2 linked regions of the Xenopus tropicalis genome follow. The protein of the gene in region 1 purifies or fractionates together with the protein of each later gene. This does not show direct contact. Links are inferred from orthologs where the notes say so. Each region holds a gene or a part of one and is shown in the gene's direction. Other genes may lie near its edges.

The links. The genes of interacting proteins can lie anywhere in the genome.
Region 2: the proteins of mapk4 (region 1) and fastkd5 purify together in Homo sapiens (affinity purification with mass spectrometry; 3 studies listed by BioGRID and IntAct, with this or other methods). This does not show direct contact. The link is inferred for Xenopus tropicalis from reciprocal best matches to the Homo sapiens genes MAPK4 and FASTKD5.

Annotation. Positions count from the first base shown.
Region 1 is NC_030677.2:204,984,521-204,988,455, reverse strand, and holds the start of mapk4 (mitogen-activated protein kinase 4), read left to right. Parts: upstream 1-1,131; 5' UTR 1,132-1,262; intron 1,263-3,935. UniProt on the Homo sapiens protein: Atypical MAPK protein. Phosphorylates microtubule-associated protein 2 (MAP2) and MAPKAPK5.
Region 2 is NC_030677.2:12,511,492-12,515,549, reverse strand, and holds the start of fastkd5 (FAST kinase domain-containing protein 5, mitochondrial), read left to right. Parts: upstream 1-1,256; 5' UTR 1,257-1,345; intron 1,346-1,719; exon of another isoform or gene 1,720-1,752; intron 1,753-2,069; exon of another isoform or gene 2,070-2,155; intron 2,156-2,190; exon of another isoform or gene 2,191-2,241; intron 2,242-2,519; exon of another isoform or gene 2,520-2,549; intron 2,550-3,107; exon of another isoform or gene 3,108-3,162; intron 3,163-3,182; exon of another isoform or gene 3,183-3,230; intron 3,231-4,058. UniProt on the Homo sapiens protein: Plays an important role in the processing of non-canonical mitochondrial mRNA precursors.

The DNA of each region.
Region 1 (3,935 bases):
GGGATGGCACATAGGGTGGCAATTGCCCCCCCCAACCCCATTCTCCTCATTTTTAACCCTTCTGGACCCTGAGTGTGCACTCACAAGTCAGGGGATTACAGCAGCATCTACTCAAATCACAGCTTCATGAAAAGCGCCTCATTCCCAAACTTTAGGGGATTTAGTCGGGGCAGTAAGTCCTAGGCAACCTGTCGGCTTGGCCCGTCCACTGCCAACATCCCCCCTACCCCCGTGCGTACCGGGGGTTACAGGGGCCGCTGCACAGTCGGGGCAAGAGTCCGGAACCGGTGGTAGGTGACAGAAGAGGTACCTGCCTGGCGCCCCCCATCATTGCACCCTAGGTAGGTACCTCTTCTGCCTACCCCTAGTTCCGGCCCTGGTAATAGTAATAGGTTACATTATCCGCACTAGTGATGAGCGAATCTGTCCCATTTTGCTTTGCCATAAAATTCGTGAAACGGCAAGAAAACAAATTTGTCGCGTGTTTTTTTTTGTCTCCCCCGCTTTTGATGCCCAATTTTTATGCTTCTGCGACCATTTTTTATGTCCCCGTGTCCAATTTGACGCGTGACAAATTTTTCCACAGGCGAATTTTCACGGAAGCTTCGCAAAACAATTCGCCAATGGCGAAATGCGAAAATTCGCTGCGAATCCATGCCTGCCGAAAAAATTTGCTCATCACTAATCCGCACATAGGATATCCATATAGTCTTTCTTAGGGCGAAGACACACTGAACTACTTAGTAGCAGCTACTTGTCACGGCTACTAAACACCAGCAAATCCCCTGCCATAGACAATACTGAGAATTGCCTCTGCTAAAACACACGTAGAGACAATTATCAGTAAATGGTCAGCATTGTCTGTTTTAGTAGCCGTGACAAGTAGCTGCTACTAGTAGCTCTGTGTGTCTTCATCTTATTGTATGAATTAGCCCATCCTGAGCAGAGACCCCCATCCTGGGGCAGAGCAGCAATGCAGCAAATTGACCCCGATTTTAGGCCATACCAACTACCAAATGGCATCGCTTTCCCGGGACCCATAGAAGCCCATAGCCGGCAGCTGTGAGAGACAGAAGGGCCGGTACCCGCCCAGTGCCCGCTGCCAGCTGCCGCCTCTGATGTCAGGAGTGGGCGCGGCCGGAGGGGAGTTCCCTGGGTGGCAGCGAGCGATCAGTCAGCTGGGGATAAGCCGGCACTGGGAGCCGGGGAGAGTCGGGGACATCTGCCTGCGGCAGGACGCGACACTGCGGGAGTGGAGGCCGGTAAGTCGCCGCTAGGGATGTTCCTGCCATTCCCTGCCCGGAGCCGCAGCCTCAGCACCGCCGGTCCCGTCCGCCTCTCACACAAAGGGATCAGGTGGCTGCCATTCAGCCCGGCTACAGCTTTAGGGGCTCAGCCCCCCACACTGGGTGCTGCATAACGGGCTTTATTCCTCTAATTGGCTCCCATAGAGCTAAATAGCCCTCCCTTCTGTCAGCCCCGACCCTGCGGTTGCACTTGCCCTGCTTCCCCCATTGGCTGTGAGGCTGCTGAGAGCTGCAGTTCAGTCGGACAAAGTGGAACCTTTACCTGCTGGGGAATCTCACAGGGCAGAGACTGAGGTAAAGGGGACGTAATTAAACTTCAGCACTAATGAGGCGGCTAATGAGGGTGCTGGGTGATTGCTTTCTAAATTGTCCGACTTCTTATCCAGATGCCTCCCCGCCAGGGAGTGGGGGCTGTACATACATAGCATGTGGGTTTGTTTATACAGAGGCTGTCAGCCCTAGAGATGCTCCCTCTGGCCCTGGAACAGCCACTGAATGGGGCAGCATTACATTAGGGGTTAACCCTCCTGCTTCTAGGGAGTAGCCAAGGGTAGCAACATCGGGCCTTATTGCATGTCTATTGTCTGAGCTGTTTTAATAAAAGTCAGCCCCCCCCTCTCCCATGTCTGGGAATAGCAGCCGTACACACTGCGGACAGGAGCAGCTCATATTTTATATGGGGAGACTATTAATCAATAGCACCGACCGCAGGAACCCGTAATGTCCAACCACACAATCTATGTACATATATCTGGCGTAATTGGTGTTGAACTACAGCACCCAGCACCTTGTGGCACCCAGAGCCCTGTGGCACCCAGAGCCTTGTGGCACCCAGAGCCCTGTGGCACCCAGAGCCTTGTGGCACCCAGAGCCCTGTGGCACCCAGCACCTTGTGGCACCCAGAGCCCTGTGGCACCCAGAGTCCTGTGGCACCCAGCACCTTGTGGCACCCAGAGCCCTGTGGCACCCAGAGCCCTGTGGCACCAGAGCCCTGTGGCACCCAGCACCTTGTGGCACCCAGAGCCCTGTGGCACCCAGAGCCCTGTGGCACCCAGCACCTTGTGGCACCCAGCACCTTGTGGCACCCAGAGCCCTGTGGCACCCAGAGTCCTGTGGCACCCAGCACCTTGTGGCACCCAGAGCCCTGTGGCACCCAGAGCCCTGTGGCACCCAGAGCCCTGTGGCACCCAGCACCTTGTGGCACCCAGAGCCCTGTGGCACCCAGAGCCCTGTGGCACCCAGCACCTTGTGGCACCCAGCACCTTGTGGCACCCAGAGCCCTGTGGCACCCAGAGCCCTGTTTGGGTATTCGCTTTCCTGCATTGCTGGGCTGAAGGTGCTGAAGAGTTTCTGGGAATTTTAGTTCTACAACTATGATAAAGCCTTTTCTGTGTTAATTACAACTTTATAACCTGGAATGACAGTAATTAGGATAATCACTGACCCTCAGCATCAGATTCTGTGTTTAAACAATTCACATGGGGGTCCCTAGAATTTCATTGGTCGGGCAGTGCCCCTATACAGTACTTATAGAGATAAGAACCTTGGGATATTCCCTCAGAGATATCATGAGACTCAAAGAAAATGTAAAGGAGAAATAAACCCTAAAATATATTCTTTCTATGTGATACAGGAAAGTGCATTGGTTTCTCTTAGGCTTCAGAATGGCTCAGTATTGGGATTATTCACCCCTAAACACTGTATATAATTGGCCAATAGAGTGAGTCTCTGAATTCGGGGGTTCATTTATGAACAGTCGGAAATGTCATTTCGAATTTTATGATGCAGTTAGAATTTTGGTGCATGTCAGGGTTATATCAGCCTTGCAGTCTGCTGAGATTTGGGGTGAGTGCTTATTTGTGCCCTGGGTACCCCTGGAACTATAGGGGGGTGACTGTTACCCCAATGTTTCTATATATCTGTAACCTTGTTATGGGCTAAGGGGGCCCAGTCTGAAGGCCAGTTAGGGGGGGATTTGGGGTAAATGCTTATTTGTGCCCTGGGTACCCCTGGAACTATAGGGGGGTGACTGTTACCCCAATGTTTCTATATATCTGTAACCTTGTTATGGGCTAAGGGGGCCCAGCCTGAAGGCCAGTTAGGGGGGATTTGGGGTGAATGCTTATTTGTGCCCTGGGTACCCCTGGAACTATAGCGGGGTGACTGTTACCCCAATGTTTCTATATATCTGTAACCTTGTTATGGGCTAAGGGGGCCCAGCCTGAAGGCCAGTTAGGGGGGGATTTGGGGTGAGTGCTTATTTGTGCCCTGGGTACCCCTGGAACTGTAGCAGGGTGACTGTTACCCCAATGTTTCTATATATCTGTAACCTTGTTATGGGCTAAGGGGGCCCAGCCTGAAGGCCAGTTAGGGGGGATTTGGGGTGAGTGCTTATTTGTGCCCTGGGTACCCCTGGAACTATAGCAGGGTGACTGTTACCCCAATGTTTCTATATATCTGTAACCTTGTTATGGGCTAAGGGGGCCCAGCCTGAAGGCCAGTTAGGGGGGATTTGGGGTGAGTGCTTATTTGTGCCCTGGTACCCCTGGAACTATAGCAGGGTGACTGTTACCCCAATGTTTCTATATATCTGTAACCTTGTTATGGGCTAAGGGGGCCCAGCCTGAA
Region 2 (4,058 bases), about 190 Mb from region 1:
TTTAGTTCCCCTTTAAACAGAAAGAACCTTTGGTCCAGTAATTTTTTTTTCTGCGAAGTGGAGTGCCTTGGTTGAGGGTGGGGGGGCCTTGGTTGAGGGTGTCTAGGTTGAGGTGGGGGGCCTTGGTTGAGGGTGGGGTGTCTAGGTTGAGGGTGGGGGTGCCTTGGTTGAGGGTGGGGGTGTCTAGGTTGAGGGTGGGGGGGCCTTGGTTGAGGGTGGGGGTGCCTTGGTTGAGGGTGGGGGTGCCTTGGTTGAGCGTGGGGGTGCCTTGGTTGAGGGTGGGGGGGCCTTGGTTGAGGTGGGGGGCCTTGGTTGAGGGTGGGGGGCCTTGGTTGAGCGTGGGGGTGCCTTGGTTGAGGGTGGGGGGGCCTTGGTTGAGGGTGGGGGTGCCTTGGTTGAGGGTGGGGGTGCCTTGGTTGAGGGTGGGGGTGCCTAGGTTGAGGGTGGGGGTGCCTTGGTTGAGGGTGGGGGTGCCTTGGTTGAGGGTGGGGGGGCCTAACAAACTGGCACCCCCAATGAATTCAATGTTCCTTCTCCATAGGAAAGAACTGAAACACTCAAACCATCCCAAGAAACAGAGAAAGCTTCCAACATGATTGGGGGTGTGGTCAAGGTGGAATAGGGCGTGGCAAAGAGGCCAGTCCTACTAAAGTTCGCCCTATGGACAGGCACATTGCTAGGGATCTGTTAGCACTCCGGTTAATGGAAGCACAACCCCTCTCTGAACTGAACTGCTTTGACTTGGCACTGCCATTATTTCTCCTACAGACTCTCTATCACTAAAGCAGTTGGTACAGTCCAGCAGTACATTGTGCCTGAGCAGCAGCGCCACCTAGCAGCCTGAGATACACATTGCAGCTTCACTGGCAGCAAAATGAAAGTCTCTTCTTTCCTGGAGAATAACAAGGCCGCCTCCGTGTTTCTGATGACCCCTCCCATTCCCCGCCCACTTTATCCGTCACTGTAAAAAGTCTAAAATAACAAAAAAAAACACAAATACAAGAGTATTGTAGAAATGATATGTAAAAAGTCTATTAACCCACACGCATTTTTCTCTAATATAAACCCGCTCTGAATATTTGCAACCTCTTCGCCCATTGGATTCTAAAGCGCCCACCCACTTGACGTTAGGTTTCAGTTTTACCTCTTCCTGCGGAAAGCGCATGCGCGGACGTATCCTGAGGTGGCGTCATTCACGACGTCATATCTCGGCGCTGTCAGGTGACGGCTTGCTGGTGCGACTGTACGGGCGGAGAGCAGGGAGACGGTGCGCAGCTCATGCCCTTGTCCTGCGGTTCCTTCATGTCGGCTTGTGGGCTCCCACCTCCATAGGCTCCCTACCTGGGTAAGTCTCCCACCTCCATAGGCTCCCTACCTGGGTAAGTCTCCCACCTCCATAGGCTCCCTACCTGGGTAAGTCTCCCACCTCCATAGGCTCCCTACCTGGGTAAGTCTCCCACCTCCATAGGCTCCCTACCTGGGTAAGTCTCCCACCTCCATAGGCTCCCTACCTGGGTAAGTCTCCCACCTCCATAGGCTCCCTACCTGGGTAAGTCTCCCACCTCCATAGGCTCCCTACCTGGGTAAGTCTCCCACCTCCATAGGCTCCCTACCTGGGTAAGTCTCCCACCTCCATAGGCTCCCTACCTGGGTAAGTCTCCCACCTCCATAGGCTCCCTACCTGGGTAAGTCTCCCACCTCCATAGGCTCCCTACCTGGGTAGTCTCCCACCTCCATAGGCTCCCTACCTGGGGTAAGTCTCCCACCTCCATAGGCTCCCTACTGGGTAAGTCTCCCACCTCCATAGGCCTCCCTACCTGGGTAAGTCTCCCACCTCCATAGGCTCCCTACCTGGGTAAGTCTCCCACCTCCATAGGCTCCCTACTGGGTAAGTCTCCCACCTCCATAGGCTCCCTACCTGGGTAAGTCTCCCACCTCCATAGGCTCCCACCTGGTAAGTCTCCACCCATAGGCTCCCCTACCTGGGTAAGTCTCCCACCTCCATAGGCTCCCTACCTGGGTAAAGTCTCCCACATCCATAGGGCTCCCTACCTGGGTAAGTCCCCCCACCTCCATAGGCTCCCTACCTGGGTAAGTCTCCCACCTCCATAGGCTCCCTACCTGGGTAAGTCTCCCACCTCCATAGGCTCCCTACCTGGGTAAGTCCCCCACCTCCATAGGCTCCCCTACCTGGGTAAGTCTCCCACCTCCATAGGCTCCCTACCTGGGTAAGTCTCCCACCTCCATAGGCTCCCCCTCCATAGGCTCCCTACCTGGGTAAGTCTCCCACCTCCATAGGCTCCCTACCTGGGTAAGTCTCCCACATCCATAGGCTCCCTACCTGGGTAAGTCTCCACATCCATAGGCCTCCCTACCTGGGTAAGTCTCCCACATCCATAGGCTCCCTACCTGGGTAAGTCTCCCACATCCATAGGCTCCCTACCTGGGTAAGTCTCCCACATCCATAGGCTCCCTACCTGGGTAAGTCTCCCACATCCATAGGCTCCCTACCTGGGTAAGTCTCCCACATCCATAGGCTCCCTACCCGGGTAAGTCTCCCACATCCATAGGCTCCCTACCTGGGTAAGTCTCCCACCTCCATAGGCTCCCTACCTGGGTAAGTCTCCCACCTCCATAGGCTCCCTACCTGGGTAAGTCTCCCACATCCATAGGCTCCCTACCTGGGTAAGTCTCCCACCTCCATAGGCTCCCTAACCTGGGTAAGGCTCCCACCTCCATAGGCTCCCTACCTGGGTAAGTCTCCCACCTCCATAGGCTCCCTACCTGGGTAAGGCTCCCACCTCCATAGGCTCCCTACCTGGGTAAGTCTCCCACCTCCATAGGCTCCCTACCTGGGTAAGTCTCCCACCTCCATAGGCTCCCTACCTGGGTAAGGCTCCCACCTCCATAGGCTCCCTACCTGGGTAAGTCCCCCACCTCCATAGGCTCCCTACCTGGGTAAGGCTCCCACCTCCATAGGCTCCCTACCTGGGTAAGGCTCCCACCTCCATAGGCTCCCTACCTGGGTAAGTCCCCCACCTCCATGGGCTCCCTACCTGGGTAAGGCTCCCACCTCCATAGGCTCCCTACCTGGGTAAGTCCCCCACCTCCATAGGCTCCCTACCTGGGTAAGGCTCCCACATCCATAGGCTCCCTACCTGGGTAAGTCCCCCACCTCCATAGGCTCCCTACCTGGGTAAGGCTCCCACCTCCATAGGCTCCCTACCTGGGTAAGTCTCCCACATACAGCTGCCTGCTGAGGATTGTGGGAGTTGAAGACTGGCTATTGCGTTGCTAACAGCCTAACTGAGGGGAACACTGGGCTGCCGGCCATTTCTGATGGACCGTTGGATAAAATAGGGCACCGAGATGGGGAACCCGACAGTGTTGCAAATTGGCAAACATACCCTAGTGTGGCCGGCTGGTAGCTTCTATTCCCTGGGGTGGCTGCTAGGGGGGGCTTCTATTCCCTGGGGTGGCTGCTAGGGGGGGCTTCTATTCCCTGGGGTGGCTGCTAGGGGGGGCTTCTATTCCCTGGGGTGGCTGCTAGGGGGGGCTTCTATTCCCTGGGGTGGCTGCTAGGGGAGGGGGGCTTCCTATTCCCTGGGGTGGCTGCTAGGGGGGGGGGCTTCTATTCCCTGGGGTGGCTGCTAGGGGGGGGGCTTCTATTCCCTGGGGTGGCTGCTAGGGGGGGGCTTCTATTCCCTAGGGGGGGGGCTTCTATTCCCTGGGGTGGCTGCTAGGGGGGGGTGGCTGCTAGGGGGGGGCTTATATTCCCTGGGGTGGCTGCTAGGGGGGGCTTATATTCCCTGGGGTGGCTGCTAGGGGGGGGCTTCTATTCCCTGGGGTGGCTGCTAGGGGGGGCTTCTATTCCCTGGGGTGGCTGCTAGGGGGGGCTTCTATTCCCTGGGGTGGCTGCTAGGGGGGGGGCTTATATTCCCTGGGGTGGCTGCTAGGGGGGCTTCTATCCCTGGGGTGGCTGCTAGGTGGGGGGGGGCTTCTATTCCCTGGGGTGGCTGCTAGGGGGGGCTTCTATTCGCTGGGGTGGCTCCTAGGGG